2 linked regions of the Struthio camelus genome follow. The protein of the gene in region 1 purifies or fractionates together with the protein of each later gene. This does not show direct contact. Links are inferred from orthologs where the notes say so. Each region holds a gene or a part of one and is shown on either strand. Other genes may lie near its edges.

What was found. Proteins that work in one complex are often made in the same cells at the same time.
Region 2: the proteins of BNIP1 (region 1) and NBAS purify together in Homo sapiens (co-immunoprecipitation; 3 studies listed by BioGRID and IntAct, with this or other methods). This does not show direct contact. The link is inferred for Struthio camelus from reciprocal best matches to the Homo sapiens genes BNIP1 and NBAS.

Annotation. Positions count from the first base shown.
Region 1 is NC_090954.1:8,598,366-8,605,482, forward strand, and holds the start of BNIP1 (vesicle transport protein SEC20), read left to right. Parts: upstream 1-4,105; 5' UTR 4,106-4,144; coding exon 4,145-4,318; intron 4,319-4,399; coding exon 4,400-4,492; intron 4,493-4,736; coding exon 4,737-4,828; intron 4,829-5,362; coding exon 5,363-5,464; intron 5,465-6,203; coding exon 6,204-6,322; intron 6,323-7,117. UniProt on the Homo sapiens protein: As part of a SNARE complex may be involved in endoplasmic reticulum membranes fusion and be required for the maintenance of endoplasmic reticulum organization. Also plays a role in apoptosis.
Region 2 is NC_090944.1:21,407,804-21,414,788, forward strand, and holds the start of NBAS (NBAS subunit of NRZ tethering complex), read left to right. Parts: upstream 1-3,973; 5' UTR 3,974-4,003; coding exon 4,004-4,153; intron 4,154-6,985. UniProt on the Homo sapiens protein: Involved in Golgi-to-endoplasmic reticulum (ER) retrograde transport; the function is proposed to depend on its association in the NRZ complex which is believed to play a role in SNARE assembly at the ER. Required for normal embryonic development.

The sequences.
Region 1 (7,117 bases):
CTGCAGCGATACTTGATATAAATAAAACCTGGCAGTAAAATGTAGAGTAAAGATAAGACCTTTTGCTGGTTTAACTTTATCATAAAGGTGACATAGGCAAGCTGTGCAGCTTTACATTTTAACCAGGGGACTCTGTGGCATTTAAACCGTCTAGAAATGGTTGTACTTTAATGCCAGTAACAATCTGCTTCCTCTAGTGTCATTAAAATATATACATTTAGTGTATACTTATCACAAACAAAAATCTTTATAAGGGTATAAAAAACAGCAAATGTACATGTTCTGTTTTTTGGCAATTGTGGCATGCATTTTTGGATGATCTTTAGAGAAGACCATTTTCTAAAGATTTTCGGTGTTCATACATGGTATGTGGATCTTAATGAAGTCCTGGATTTTTTGTTTGTTTTTGAGTGTAGGCATTGTGAGTATTCACTTTTAATCCTGTATCCAAAAACAATTATACATTTTTGATTTAATACAAGCAAAAGCTCTTCCTTTATCTGATACACTGGATTCTCTAGAATTTGTTTCCATATTAAAAGCATGCTGTCATAACTGCTCTTGTTGAGATCTCGTCAGTCTGAACTTAGGTGCCACACTTTTTGAATTGATGGACTGCTTGTTCTACTGTACCATGTATGATTCTTGTCCTTTCCTACTTCCTTCATGACAGATTATGATGTGGCTTTATATTGTGCCTTACTTGTACGTCTAGAACTAAATGTTTTTCATTCCCCCGGAACTCTTCAAGCCTAACCCTTCTGAAAGCGAATCAGAACTGATAAAAGTGTCCTGAAGAAAGTTTGGATAGATCTGATTTCATTTCCTCTCAATAGTAGCCACTTTGTATTTATATGGAAGACCAGTTTTTGAATGGTCTTGCAAAATTTGGGGGTCCTCATGGGGGGGGGGGGTGTTTTTACGCCCTAAACCCCCTTTGCTAACGCTTTCACTTCCATGATTTATTGAACACGCTTACGGATATTTGTTGAGTACTTTCTTTGGATGAGAGGGAATTAGTTACAACTAAAGCTATGTTTAGGTGTGGATGGGCTGGATTTTCTTATCATACCAGTTTAAATCATTGTGATTTAATGAAGTTGCATTGCTGTAAAGCTGATGCGAGAGTCGGGCTCAGATGTGTTCATTTCCTAATTCTTATGTATAGCAGACTTTTTCCGTACTGAGAGAAGTGGGCCAGGAAAAAGTTTTTAACAAAACATAAAACGGATGAAGGGTTGTTTTAACTAACGTAAAAGGAAGCAGATGCTTCTGAAATACCGTGGTGTCAGTTTGGATTTTGTTTGAAAAACAAGACACCCCCCCAACCCAAACAATTTTCTGATATTTGCCTTCATTAATAAAACAGCTTATTCACAAAATGTAAAGAATGGATGTGCTTTTCTTTTCCGTACATCATTTAAACATAGCTATTTTTTTAAAGCTGTAAAAGGCTTTATCAGGAGAATTTCAAAGGGTTGTTTCAAAGTTGCCTTCAGCAGAAATAGCAGATGCAATTCTGTTCCTCAAACTTGCTTGCTAGTCTTCCTGAAATTCTGTTGAGGCATAACCCAATTATGTAACACGAATGTTAGGATCTGTATTTGGCCTTGCGACCTGAATTTCAAGAACGCACCTAATCATGATTTTTATTTTATTTTCAAGTTAGAGGCTTCAGTTGGAATCATCTAGTGAAGTGTGCTGCTAGATGTGGTCTTGGCTTATTGACACAGCCTTGCACAGAGCTGAAGTTTATTTGTTTACCCCAGGGATTGTGTGAAGTACATTTCAAACAGTTACTGTTTCAGTGACTGATTCTTCTTGTAACTGTATTAAGGGCATTAGTATGTTGAGAAAACAGCACTCTTGAATATCTCCCAATATAAATTGGGATTCTTAAATGTCGTTAATGAAAGATGGCAATACTAGGTTATATCTTCTTCACAGCATACAAAATGTCTATATCTTTCTCTGATTTACATTTCACAATATGCCATGTTTTTCTCCCCCAATGCTTCTAGCATGGTAAGGAGGTGTGTGTGCGCACTGAATTTATAATCCTCAGCCTTTCAGACATTCATGAACTTCCACAAGAGCAAATCCTGACTATGCATTTATTGTCTTTCTAATGAGCAGTGGAGCTAAAAGTGAAGGGAGAGCTATTTTAAAACACAGTTTTTTCATGTCAATAAAAAAAAAAAAAATCCAAGCTCTTTAGATAACATCAGTGTTAGGGGGTTTTCTTCATTTAAGAATATTTGATGTTTAGGTACCTGAATTAACCCCAATTTGGGTTAAGTCAACTGGCTCAAGTAAGAAAAACTTCTGGATTGGATTTAGGACTGACAAAAGCACCCTCCAGCCTAACAAAATCTTCTGCTTAAAAAACAGAATCTAGTTTGAATCACCTATCCTAGAATAGTATTTCATCTAAGTAAAACTTCTCATTGCTCAGTATTTGTGGTTGAGTGAACTCTTAAGGCTGATGGCACACGCAGACATAGGTGGTTGAAAGGCAAGGGGAAAAAAAGCATTTTAAAGAAAACATGGTATCCTGCTCTGCCTATGCTTGGGGTCATGACTGTAATGCTGTCCTTGACATTCTGTAATCAACTTCCAACTGGAGCTCAGAAAAACTTATTGAAAGTCTTGTCTCTGTTAGAAAATAAATTTACCTTGTTAAAAGCATGATCTGTTAAGAGTTACAATGTTTAATGTTGGTTAATAGTTGTGCAGTTTTTCTTTTCTTTTTCTGTCCCTGAAAAGAGGCACAATTAAACTATTGACTTTGTTTACTCTGTCACCCTTGATCCCTAGCACTTCTATTCAGATACAAATTCATCAATGTATGCAACATCCTTTGTAATTTAAAATAAAAATTGTGGAGGAAAAATGGTCTCAAATCGTTGTATGCGTGGAGTGACCTTGAACGGTGCCGTACTCTCTTAAACGCTCTGCCGTGGGGCTCTGCGTTCAGTAGGGCATAGCTGCTGTAACGCGTTGACTCGGGCTTCCTCCCAGAAACGTGGGCCTGACGTTGCGGGAAGCTTCAAGCGCTCGCTCCCTCTGTGCCGAACGGGTACGAAGGAAAGGGTGTCAGTGTCCCCCTGCTGCGCTGCGGTTTTCCTGTGGAAGGAGTCACTGCTAGGTAAGGAGACAACGGGCTGGTTTCTCCTAGTCAGTGCTCATAGTAACAGCTAACGCGCAAAGCTGCCGGATGAGTGCGTTAGCACGGGGAGCTAGCCTGAAAACCGCCAGGTCGCTTTACAGGCTCCCTGAAACGGCCGTCCAAGGGGTCTCCAACCCCAGCGCCTGCTAACTGGGTGTAGATCGGGTTTGTGATGCAGCCTGATCTGAAGGCAGGAGTGGGAAAAGACGGGGCCAGAACGGGAGGCGTTTGCAGAAAACAGCAGAAGGGTCGACGTGGTGCTCCCCTTCCGCTTGCTGCAGGGCCGCAGAAGGCGGTAACGTTATTCCCAGAGCCTCTTCGTAGCAGGATCAGCCATGTTCCCGGCTGCTGAGGGCCAAAGACCAGAAAGTCAGGGCCTAAATGAAGTTGGCGCGGTGTCTGCGGGGCCGGGGAGGGGAGGACGGGTGCCCTCGCGCCGCCCCCCCTCCCCGACGCCTCGCTGGGGACGAGGTGGGGAAGCGCCTTGGCTGGGGGACGCGCCCCCGGCGCTTCGCCTCGGCCCTGCCCTGCACCCCGGCCTCTTCCTCCTCCTCCTCCTCTTCCTCCTCACAGGGAGCCTGACCCGGCTCAGTCCGATCGCGGAAAAGGAGTCGACCCCTCTCTTCAGGCCGATGTAGCGCGTGAAGGAAGGCCTGGCTGGCGGAAAGGTTACTACGATTGTAGCAGTCGCAGTATCGAAGGGCATATGACAGGAATCGTTTAGCAAAGGATTACTAATACGGACGAGAAACGCCGCTGGCTGCGCGCCGCAGCGCGGAGGCTCCGAGGGGGCCTGGCGGCGCAGCTGAGCCTCTCAGCTACGTGAGGCATTTTAAGCCCGAATCCCTGCGCTTGATGCCCTGAGCCGTTCCCGCGGCAGCAGGCAAAGCAGCGCGGGGGCGCCGCCGGCGGGGCCCGGTCCCTCCCGCCTGGGGCAGCCCGGCCACCGCCGGCCGAGGCCACCGGGGTTATCCGATGTCGCCGCCCCGGCCCCGGCTCTGGCCCCGCCGCCCCAGCAGGCGGCGCCCAAGCGGCAGCGGCGGCGGCGCGGCCTCTGCTCCCAAGATGGCGGCGGCCGCCTCGGTGCCGGTGCGGGTCTGTCACCAGGAGATCGTCAGGTTCGACCTGGAGATCAAGGCGGCCGTGCAGGTAGCGCCGCCCGTCCCGGGCCGCCTCCTCTCCCCTCCTTCCCCTGCCCCGGGCCGCGCTGACCGCGCCGTTGCCTTGCAGGACATCCGGGACTGCCCGGGGCCGCTGAGCGCCCTCGCGGAGCTCAACGCCGCCGTGAAGGAGAAGTTCCAGCAGCTCCGCGGCCGCCTCCAGGTGAGGCCGGGCCCCGCGGGCCCCCCCGGCCTCTCGGCCGCCGCCGAGGCACCGCGGGCCGGTTTGGGGCGGGCGGGGGGCTCGGGAGTCCGAGCCGCGCGGCGAGGCTGTGGCGGTGTTAACTCCTGAGGGAATTTTGGTGTTAACTCTTTCCCTCACGGGGGTGAGGGGGGGACGGGGACACACAACTTGCAGATGGTGACAGCGCTTGGTCAGAACCTCCTGTTTCTGCTTTCCGTCAAAGGAGCTTGAACAGATGGCGAAGGAACAAGATAAAGAATCGGAGAAACAAGCCTTGCTCCAGGAAGTGGAAAACCATAAAAAGCAAATGCTCAGGTAGGCTGGGCAGCAGGTGCTGTGTACAGGTTCGTTCCCTGGGGCGAGGTAAACGTGGAGGTACCTGACTTGGGTGCAGCGTCTCTCAGATTCCCGTTTCGCAAATACGGTCACGGACACGAAGCCGTTTCGCCCAGGACGGCGAGAGCGGATCCGTGACGGAGGGGCAGGACTTTGTTCTCCTCGTCCCCTCTCTCCTGCCCGTGACGCTAGTCGCGGTCTGCTGAGCCGAATCCCCTTGGAGCAGCACGGTACGCAAGGCTGAGCGCGTAAGGCAGTGCCTTGAGGGACCGTTTTCTGACAGGTAGCACAATATCCCTCATCCCCTTGCTCCATAAAAGATACACGCAGGAGGAGAAGCAACAGAAGGGAATGTGGTATATTATTATTATACCACGTTATTCTGTGGTATAACGTAGAAATAGTCCATGTGTGTACATAGGGTGCTCAGTTATGGCAGTTTCCTTGTTGAAAACCGTTTTAGCTTGCAAAGTGTTACCATCGTGCTACGCCGTTGTACTCTTGTGATTTCAGCAATCAGGCGGCTTGGAGAAAGGCAAATCTAGCGTGCAAAATTGCTATTGACAACTCTGAGAAAGATCAGCTGCTTCAGGGAAGAGACTCCTTAAGACAAAGGTACTAAACTATTCCCCTTTATGTTTTGGTAACAGATTTAAACAGTAGATGTGGTATTCACTGGTTTTAAAAGGGAGTGATGTAATAATTGTAAGTCACCTGATTGTATTTGGACAGATTTTCTTTTATGAGTGCATTTAGCTTTTGTGTAGATTTTAAACTGTTAAGGATTGTAATAATTTTAGGGATTTTTTGGTGTTGGCCCATCTATGCAGAAAAAGGGGACAGGATAGCCTTCAAAGTGTTTCTGACAGCTTTTTACATTAAATCCAGTCAGATTCATAAACAAATAACAGATCATTTTTCAGTCTGTTTTCGCATGCAGAACTGGATTAAGTTTATATAATTTGTGTATTGAAAAGTTGGCTTATGGTGAAGCAGCAGAAATCCAAGATAACGAAGTTGTATCAGCGCTTTTGTGCCACTTTATGAAGCTGTATAGTCAAGGATTAACAACTAGCGAGGTGTGAGCCTCCATGAGACTCTGATCCACTGCCTAACAGTTGTTTTGGCTCATGACTTTAACGTGTTGCGATTCTTAGTGTTTAGTGAAGATAATGAGTCCATACCTTAATCTTAGTTTCTCATGCGTTAATAAAACCTGGTTGTATCTTTTGTACGTTGGCAGAGATGTGGGGTGCCAAGCTCTGTTCTTAGCTCCCTGTCAGCAGCACTTTTCTGCAGTACCCAGAGACATCATTTTCTCCCTTACCCCTTTATTTTTCCCTTCCTCTTTCAGAAAGACTACAAAGGAGAGCCTGGCAGAGAGTGCAAGTAACATCACGGAGAGTTTGATGGGCATTAGCAGGATGATGTCACAGCAAGTCCAGCAGAGTGAGGAGACTGTGCAAACCCTAGGTACAGCTGTAATTTGGGTATTTGGTTATGGACTGTATGACTGAAGTGCCTTTCGCTAGTACTGTTAGCATGGGGAGAGGCAAACTGTCAAGATGTGGAGCACGGTGGAAAGCTGTATCGCTAATCCTGAACTTACTAGGATAATTAAAGGACTGTCCAGCAGAACTCCTCTAACACTTGGGTAGGAACAGCAAATAATAATGGCACACTGCATGAAGCTGTTTGCTGGGCTGTCTTTCTGTTTCGTGATGTGTCTTCTCAGTTCTGAAATAAACAAGAGGGGGCAGGAGGAAAAGCTCTTGTTTTAGTTTCACATAAAAGTGTAAAAGCAATGTGACTTCACACAATGTGAAGAGTGTGTTTGCTGCTACTCAGTGCTCTTGTCCTGGCATGCACGTGGCAACAGAAAAGAAAATAAAAGCATAGGTGCAAGTCCGCACGTAGAGGAAACTTAGTATGGATGGAAAACTGTTTTTACCCAGTCTCCAGCTGGGATGACTAAGAGATGTGGAGATCAAGTGACTTGAACCTGAGGTCGCTTGCTCTGTCAGCAGTGCATCGGGGAGTGCGAAACCAAGATTTTGCCCTGTTCTTTGGCTTAGACTCCTCAGACAATAAATCAAGTGGCCTGTCAGAACTGGTGATTCATGAACCATTTAGAAGTTGGATCTGCGTTGCTTGGGCCCCTTACTAGCTGCGCTTGGGCAGAAGAGAAAATAGTTTAAAGACTAGGAGAAATAATGCGGCTTCCCCTCCCTCGTTTCCTACCTTCTCCCCCGCCCCCATCTGAGGATG
Region 2 (6,985 bases), on another chromosome or scaffold:
TACCCTAAATTTTCTTACTATCAATTTCTGGACACCCAACACAGGGCTGCAGCTACAGGAATTTTCCCTGGGGCGTCCCTTTGGGACTGCAGCCCTGCTGACAGGGCATGTTCCTGCTGAGCAGCACCACAATTTTCATCTTGCTCCAGCGCTTTAGCTGGGCAGCAGGTATAAGATCCTCTGAGCGATCCCCACGGCAGGAGAGTTCTGGTCCTACCTTGGGAGCAGGTACTGCAAAGGGGAGTATGAAGAGAGAGAAGACCATCCTTAGACTTATTATTCTTAAGATTTTTCTTTAATGAGACACACATTGATAAATTTTCCTCAGCAAAGGTTGGCAGTAAACATCCAGCCGAAACCAAGCGGGCAGCTCCTACAGCCGTTTTCCCAGCTGCATTGCATGGCTGTTACCAAATGGAGCACGTGCGTGCGAGGAAAGCTTGGCCTGTGACAAAAGCTCAGCCCCAAGAGCTCCAGGTCCGGGGGAAGGGTTGGCTCGCCCTCCAGGTCCCAAGGAAGGGCTGGCTCGAGGTCCAGGTCCCGGGGAAGGGCTGGCTCGAGGTCCAGGTCCCGGGGAAGGGCTGGCTCGCGCTCCAGGTCCCGGGGAAGGGCTGGCTCGAGGTCCAGGTCCCGGGGAAGGGCTGGCTCGAGGTCCAGGTCCCGGGGAAGGGCTGGCTCGTGCTCCAGGTCCCGGGGAAGGGCTGGCTCGCGCTCCAGGTCCCGGGGAAGGGCTGGCTTGCGCTCCAGGTCTTGGGGAAGGGCTGGCTTGCGCTCCAGGTCTCGGGGAAGTCTGGCTTGAGCTCCAGGTCCCAGGGAAGGGCTGGCTCGCGCTCCACATCCCGGGGAAGGGCTGGCTCGCGCTCCAGGTCCCGGGGAAGGGCTGGCTCACGCTCCAGGTCCCGAGGAAGGGCTGGCTCACGCTCCAGGTCCCGGGGAAGGCCTGGCTCGAGCTGCAGGTCCCGGGGAAGGCCTGGCTCGAACTGCAGGTCCCGGGGAAGGGCTGGCTCACGCTCCAGGTCCCGGGGAAGGGCTGGCTCGAGCTGCAGGTCCCGTGGAAGGGCTGGCTCGAGCTGCAGGTCCCGAGGAAGGGCTGGCTCGAGCTGCAGGTCCCGGGGAAGGGCTGGCTCACGCTCCAGGTCCCGGGGAAGGGCTGGCTCACGCTCCAGGTCCCGAGGAAGGGCTGGCTCGCGCTCCAGGTCCCGGGGGAGGCCTGGCTCGCGCTCCAGGTCCCGGGGGAGGCCTGGCTCGCGCTCCAGGTCCCGGGGAAGGGCTGGCTCGCGCTCCAGGTCCCGGGGAAGGCCTGGCTCGCGCTCCAGGTCCCGGGGAAGGCCTGGCTCGCGCTCCAGGTCCCGGGGAAGGCCTGGCTCGCGCTCCAGGTCCCAGGGAAGGGCTGGCTCGCGCTCCAGGTCCCAAGGAAGGACTGGCTCACGCTCCAGGTCCCGAGGAAGGGCTGGCTCACGCTCCAGGTCCCGTGGAAGGGCTGGCTCGTGCTCCAGGTCCCAAAGAAGGGCTGGCTCGCGCTCCAGGTCCCAAAGAAGGGCTGGCTCGCACTCCACATCCCGGGGAAGGGCTGGCTCGTGCTCCACGTCCCGGGGAAGGGCTGGCTCACGCTCCAGGTCCCGGGGAAGGGCTGGCTCGAGCTCCAGGTCCCGGGGAAGGGCTGGCTCGTGCTCCAGGTCCCGGGGAAGGGCTGGCTCGTGCTCCAGGTCCCGGGGAAGGGCTGGCTCGAGGTCCACGTCCCGGGGAAGGGCTGGCTCGAGGTCCACGTCCCGGGGAAGGCCTGGCTCGAGCTCCACGTCCCGGGGAAGGCCTGGCTCGAGCTCCACGTCCCGGGGAAGGCCTGGCTCGCCCTCCAGGTCCCGGGGAAGGTCTGGCTCGCGCTCCAGGTCCCGGGGAAGGCCTGGCTCGCGCTCCACGTCCCGGGGAAGGCCTGGCTCGAGCTCCACGTCCCGGGAAGGGCTGGCTCGAGCTCCACGTCTCGGGGAAGGGCTGGCTCGAGCTCCACGTCTCGGGGAAGGCCTGGCTCGCGCTCCACGTCTCGGGGAAGGCCTGGCTCGCGCTCCACGTCTCGGGGAAGGCCTGGCTCGCGCTCCAGGTCTCGGGGAAGGCCTGGCTCGCCCTCCAGGTCTCGGGGAAGGCCTGGCTCGCCCTCCAGGTCTCGGGGAAGGCCTGGCTCGTGCTGCAGGCCCCGGGGAAGGGCTGGCTCGTGCTCCAAGTCCCGAGGAAGGGCTGGCTCGAGCTGCAGGTCCCGGGGTAGGGCTGGCTTGTGCTCCAGGTCTCGGGGAAGGGCTGGCTCGCCCTCCAGGTCCCGGGGAAGGGCTGGCTCGCGCTCCAGGTCTCGGGGAAGGCCTGGCTCGCGCTCCAGGTCCCGGGGAAGGGCTGGCTCGTGCTCCAGGTCCCGGGGGAGGGCTGGCTCGCGCTCCAGGTCCCGGGGGAGGGCTGGCTCGCGCTCCAGGTCCCGGGGGAGGGCTGGCTCGCGCTCCAGGTCCCGGGGGAGGCCTGGCTCGCGCTCCAGGTCCCGGGGGAGGGCTGGCTCGCGCTCCAGGTCCCGGGGAAGGGCTGGCTCGCGCTCCAGGTCCCGGGGAAGGGCTGGCTCGTGCTCCAGGTCCCGGGGAAGGGCTGGCTCGAGCTCCAGGTCCCAAGTAAGGGCTGGCTCGAGGTCCAGGTCCCAAGTAAGGGCTGGCTCGTGCTCCAGGTCCCAAAGAAGGGCTGGCTCGAGCTCCAGGTCCCGGGAAAGGCCTGGCTCGAGCTCCAGGTCCCAGGGAAGGGCTGGCTCGCCCTCCAAGTCCCGGGGAAGGCCTGGCTTGAGCTCAAGGTCCCGGGAAAGGCCTGGCTCGCGCTCCAGGTCCCAGGGAAGGGCTGGCTCGCGCTCCAGGTCCCAGGGAAGGGCTGGCTCGCGCTCCAGGTCCCAGGGAAGGGCTGGCTCACGCTCCAGGTCCCGGGGAAGGCCTGGCTCGCACTCCAGGTCTCGGGAAGGCCTGGCTCGCGCTCCACGTCCTGGGAAAGGGCTGGTTCACGCTGCACGTCCTGGGAAGGGGCTGGCTCGCGCTCTAGGTCCCGGGGAAGGGCTGGCTCGCGCTCCAGGTCCCGGGGAAGGGCTGGCTCGAGCTGTAGGTCTTGGGGAAGGCCTGGCTCGCCCTCCAGGTCCCGGGGAAGGCCTGGCTCGCCCTCCAGGTCTTGGGGAAGACCTGGCTCGCCCTCCAGGTCCCGGGGAAGGGCTGGCTCGCCCTCCAGGTCGCGGGGGAGGCCTGGCTCGCCCTCCAGGTCGCGGGGGAGGCCTGGCTCGCGCTCCAGGTCGCGGGGGAGGCCTGGCTCGCCCTCCAGGTCGCAAAGAAGGGCTGGCTCGCGCTCCAGGTCCCGGGGAAGGCCTGGCTCGCGCTCTAGGTGCCGGGGAAGGCCTGGCTCGCGCTCTAGGTGCCGGGGAAGGCCTGGCTCGCGCTCTAGGTGCCGGGGGAGGGCTGGCTCACATGCTGAGGCCCTAGGCCCAGCCACAAGCAGTCCTCCACAGCGGATGTACGTGGAGGAAGGCCGGGAGAGCACAGGCAGCCTAGTCAGTGCTTCTGGGAAACGCACTGGTGTATGTCAGGACGCAGCAGGGAGCAGCAGGGCCCCTCTCCTACACACTCGCTCACACACGCTCTCTGCAGGTGTATGAACTCTCTGCCCCTCCTTGCCTCTCGCCCGTTATCGCCCTCTCCCGCAGGGCTGCAAGGCAAAGCCGCCGGGCGCTGAACTTTCTCGAGCTGAAGCTAGACGCACTTCCACGAGCCCAGGGTCCGCTCCGCCCCACCCTCCCCCGGTACAGGGCTTCCAAGGCCGGAGGGCACGGGCCGGGCCGGGCGGGGCTCGGGCCGGGCCGGGCCGGGCGGGGCCCGGCGCGCCCGGTAGGGGGCAGCGCGGAGGGGGCTGGAGGCCGCGCCCGGCGCGCGGCGGCGTCGCCTCAGCACTTTGGCCTTCGCCGGGCGCCGTAGTCGCTGCGGCGGTGGGTTGGGCCCGGGCGAATATGGCCGCCGCCGGGGAGCGCGGGGGAGGTGGGACGGAGGCGGAGATGGAGATGGCGGCTGTCAGCGAGGGGGAGGAGGAGGGTGAGGAGGAGAATATCCTGTACGACTTGCTCGTTAACACCGAGTGGCCGCCGGAGACAGAGGTGCAGGTGAGTGTCGTCCGGGCTGGGCCGCGGCGCGGGGCGGGGGACCGGCCACGTCGGCGAGGAGGGGCCGGGCTGCGCCGAGCAGCCTGCGGCGGCCGGAGCCGTTCTCCGCCGGGCCCGGGGGCGGCGAGGGAGCCTCGCCTCTGGGCAAGGTGCCTCTGTTCCCCGGGCTGACCGGCTTGGGCACAGCGAGCGGGGGAAGCAGGGGGGCAAGCACCGTGTGCGCTGTGGTGGTTCTGCCCCTGTGACCGTCTGGCGCCCGCTCCTTTTCGATGTCACTTAATTTTTGCCCTGTCACTCATGTTTATGCCACTTGATTTTCCTTGAAGCCTTTTTTGCTCCTTCGGTGTGACTAATGCGTGCCAGGTTTTGCTGTCGAGCGTCTGCGAGGAGGGGCTGTGACAAACTTCAGGCGCGTTTTCCAGAAACAGCCGTACGGAGAGTAACGGGAACTGCACCGTGGCAGCTTGGCCTTTATCAAGCTTACTTTGCATGAGCCAAATTAGTTCACTCTCTAGAGTTTTACATCGGAACGTTACTTGATCACAGCTGTCTTTTGAGAGGGTGGAAAAGGTTTAAGAGGTATATTGCTTTGTATGTGTAGGTGGCACACAGGTGGATGACAAAGCTTTAAAGATAGGAAAACAGGACTCCTGTATTGTAAGATCTTGCTTGTGTTCTCCTTTTCTGTGGGTCAATGGAAAAACTCAGATGCTGAGGGTTTGCTCTCTCATCTTTTTCCCTGCAGTGTACTGAGTTAGTTGCCTCTGTTTCTGTTGCTGTCTGCTTTGGACTTAGAAGATGAGAGGGAGGGATGTGGTCTTATGTGTTGCTTGTAGTGGGCTTTCAAACCCACTGCATTTGTTAAAACTCTTTTTAGTTAGGAAAATACATTACGGAAATATTTTAGCAGGGCTTTATGCTTTAATGGGAACCTCTCGACAGAGGGTATGGTAAAACATCACAGATAAAAGAACGTACCTACTTATGATCACTAAAACCGTTCACATGAGAACAGCTTTTTGTTTGCCAGAAAACATCTTGATTTGTTTATCTTGAGCTTGAAGTCTTCAGTTGCTGTAACAGGAATAGGTGTTTGAGGAAAATAGTTATGGTATTATCAATTGATAACATATTGGGTTAGTGATGTAGATGAATAGACAGTTGCATCTGTTTTTATTTAACTTTGTTTTGAGAGATGGTCAATACTGTGATTTTCTTCTTCCCTTTCTGTTTAGTCATAGATGAAAGATTTGCATATCTGAAAATCATAAGGAGGACTTGGTGTAGTGGCACATGAGACTGTTTTTCCAATTGTACAAAAGGGACAATCTTCCCTTCTTCTTCTGCTGACAATCATCCCTTCTTTTCTGCTGTCACTGGTATTCTTGAAGTTGTACAGCGAAGGGAAGTGGCTAGTCTGAGAGTTAATTCTCTTGTTTCATTACTTCTGTTGGGTGGTCCTACAAACCCTCAGATAGGTGTGGGGGGGTCAGGAACGTGTCAGTAAAGGCGGAGGGAAATGTGAGACCTGTCTTCAGCAGCAGTGTGGGTATGTGCCAGTTTAAAGTGATTGTGGAACCACAGCCTGAGGGTCCTGACCCACCCTGACTATTGGAATTTCTGAGCAACGTAGAATTCTGCTTGTCAACTTGATCAAATATTACAGGCCATTTTAAGCTCCGCATTTCTTTCTTACGTGCTACATCTTCAAGATAATTGCCACTTTAAATAGCAAAATTAGAAAAGCCTGGAAATGTTACATTTTGTAGTTTGTTAGAATTACCATTTTTTGAAGACTGTCAAAAGACAAGGATACTTCCGACATGTTCTAAGGCTTTAGTAGAAAATTGCTTTTACACTGACATACACAGGCAAAGAGAAATTTTGTCAGTGTGATTCAGTGTTTGCCTGAAGATGTCTTAACAATAATATTATTTAGGTGGCTGTGCATTTCCCCTTGGAACATCAGTCTTTTTAATTCTGGTTTATTCACATTGTGCACTGTACAGGAAAAAGTCACAAAAATAATTCTCACCTTATTTCTTGTAGAACTGAGTGGTTTAGAATGACTGAGGTGGGAAATTGAAGAAAGGGAAAGGAAGCTAAGTTGAATGTTATACTGGGAAATCAAATTAAATCTCTGTCTACGCAGTTTTACAGGATACAAAAAAAGGCCTTAAACCATACTCCCCACAGATCTCTATTGACTTTACTTTATTTTTCTGTATCTCATTTGGGATGATTCAGTTTTGATTGCCGAAGTGCCGAGCACTTCCAACTGTAATTACAACCGTTGGAAGCTCTGTCTCCGATGAGAATTTAAAGATCTGTTAAATTCAAAACACTTAAAACTGGCATTTCTTAAGTTGGATCCCATATTGGCTTTAATCTTAGTTCTTGCTAGTATTCTCATTTACATATATTACGTTTCCTGAGAAATATTTTGTTTTGTAAAGAACGCCTACGTAGAGGTGACAATGCCAGAGAAAAGGCCGGTATGAAAATTGAGCAATCTACACTCGGTGCAGTGGTATGATTGTATATAACAAGTGGTTCAGGAATTCCAGAGTACGTGATGAGAACAGAAAGAATTATTGTGTCGTTAATCATTGCAAACAGTGAATGAGGCAGCGGTTCTCTGACTAAGGTTGCGGGGGAAGACTCATAGAATCATTTAGAACTGTGGAAAACAAGCAGATTGAACTTACTCTTTTCTACGGTAGGCATATGCAGTCTATATTCCTAGAAAGAATAATTCCTAGTCTATGTTCCATAGAAATAATGATTTATAATACTTTACAAGAGGACATAGTCACAAGTGAGTGACTTTTA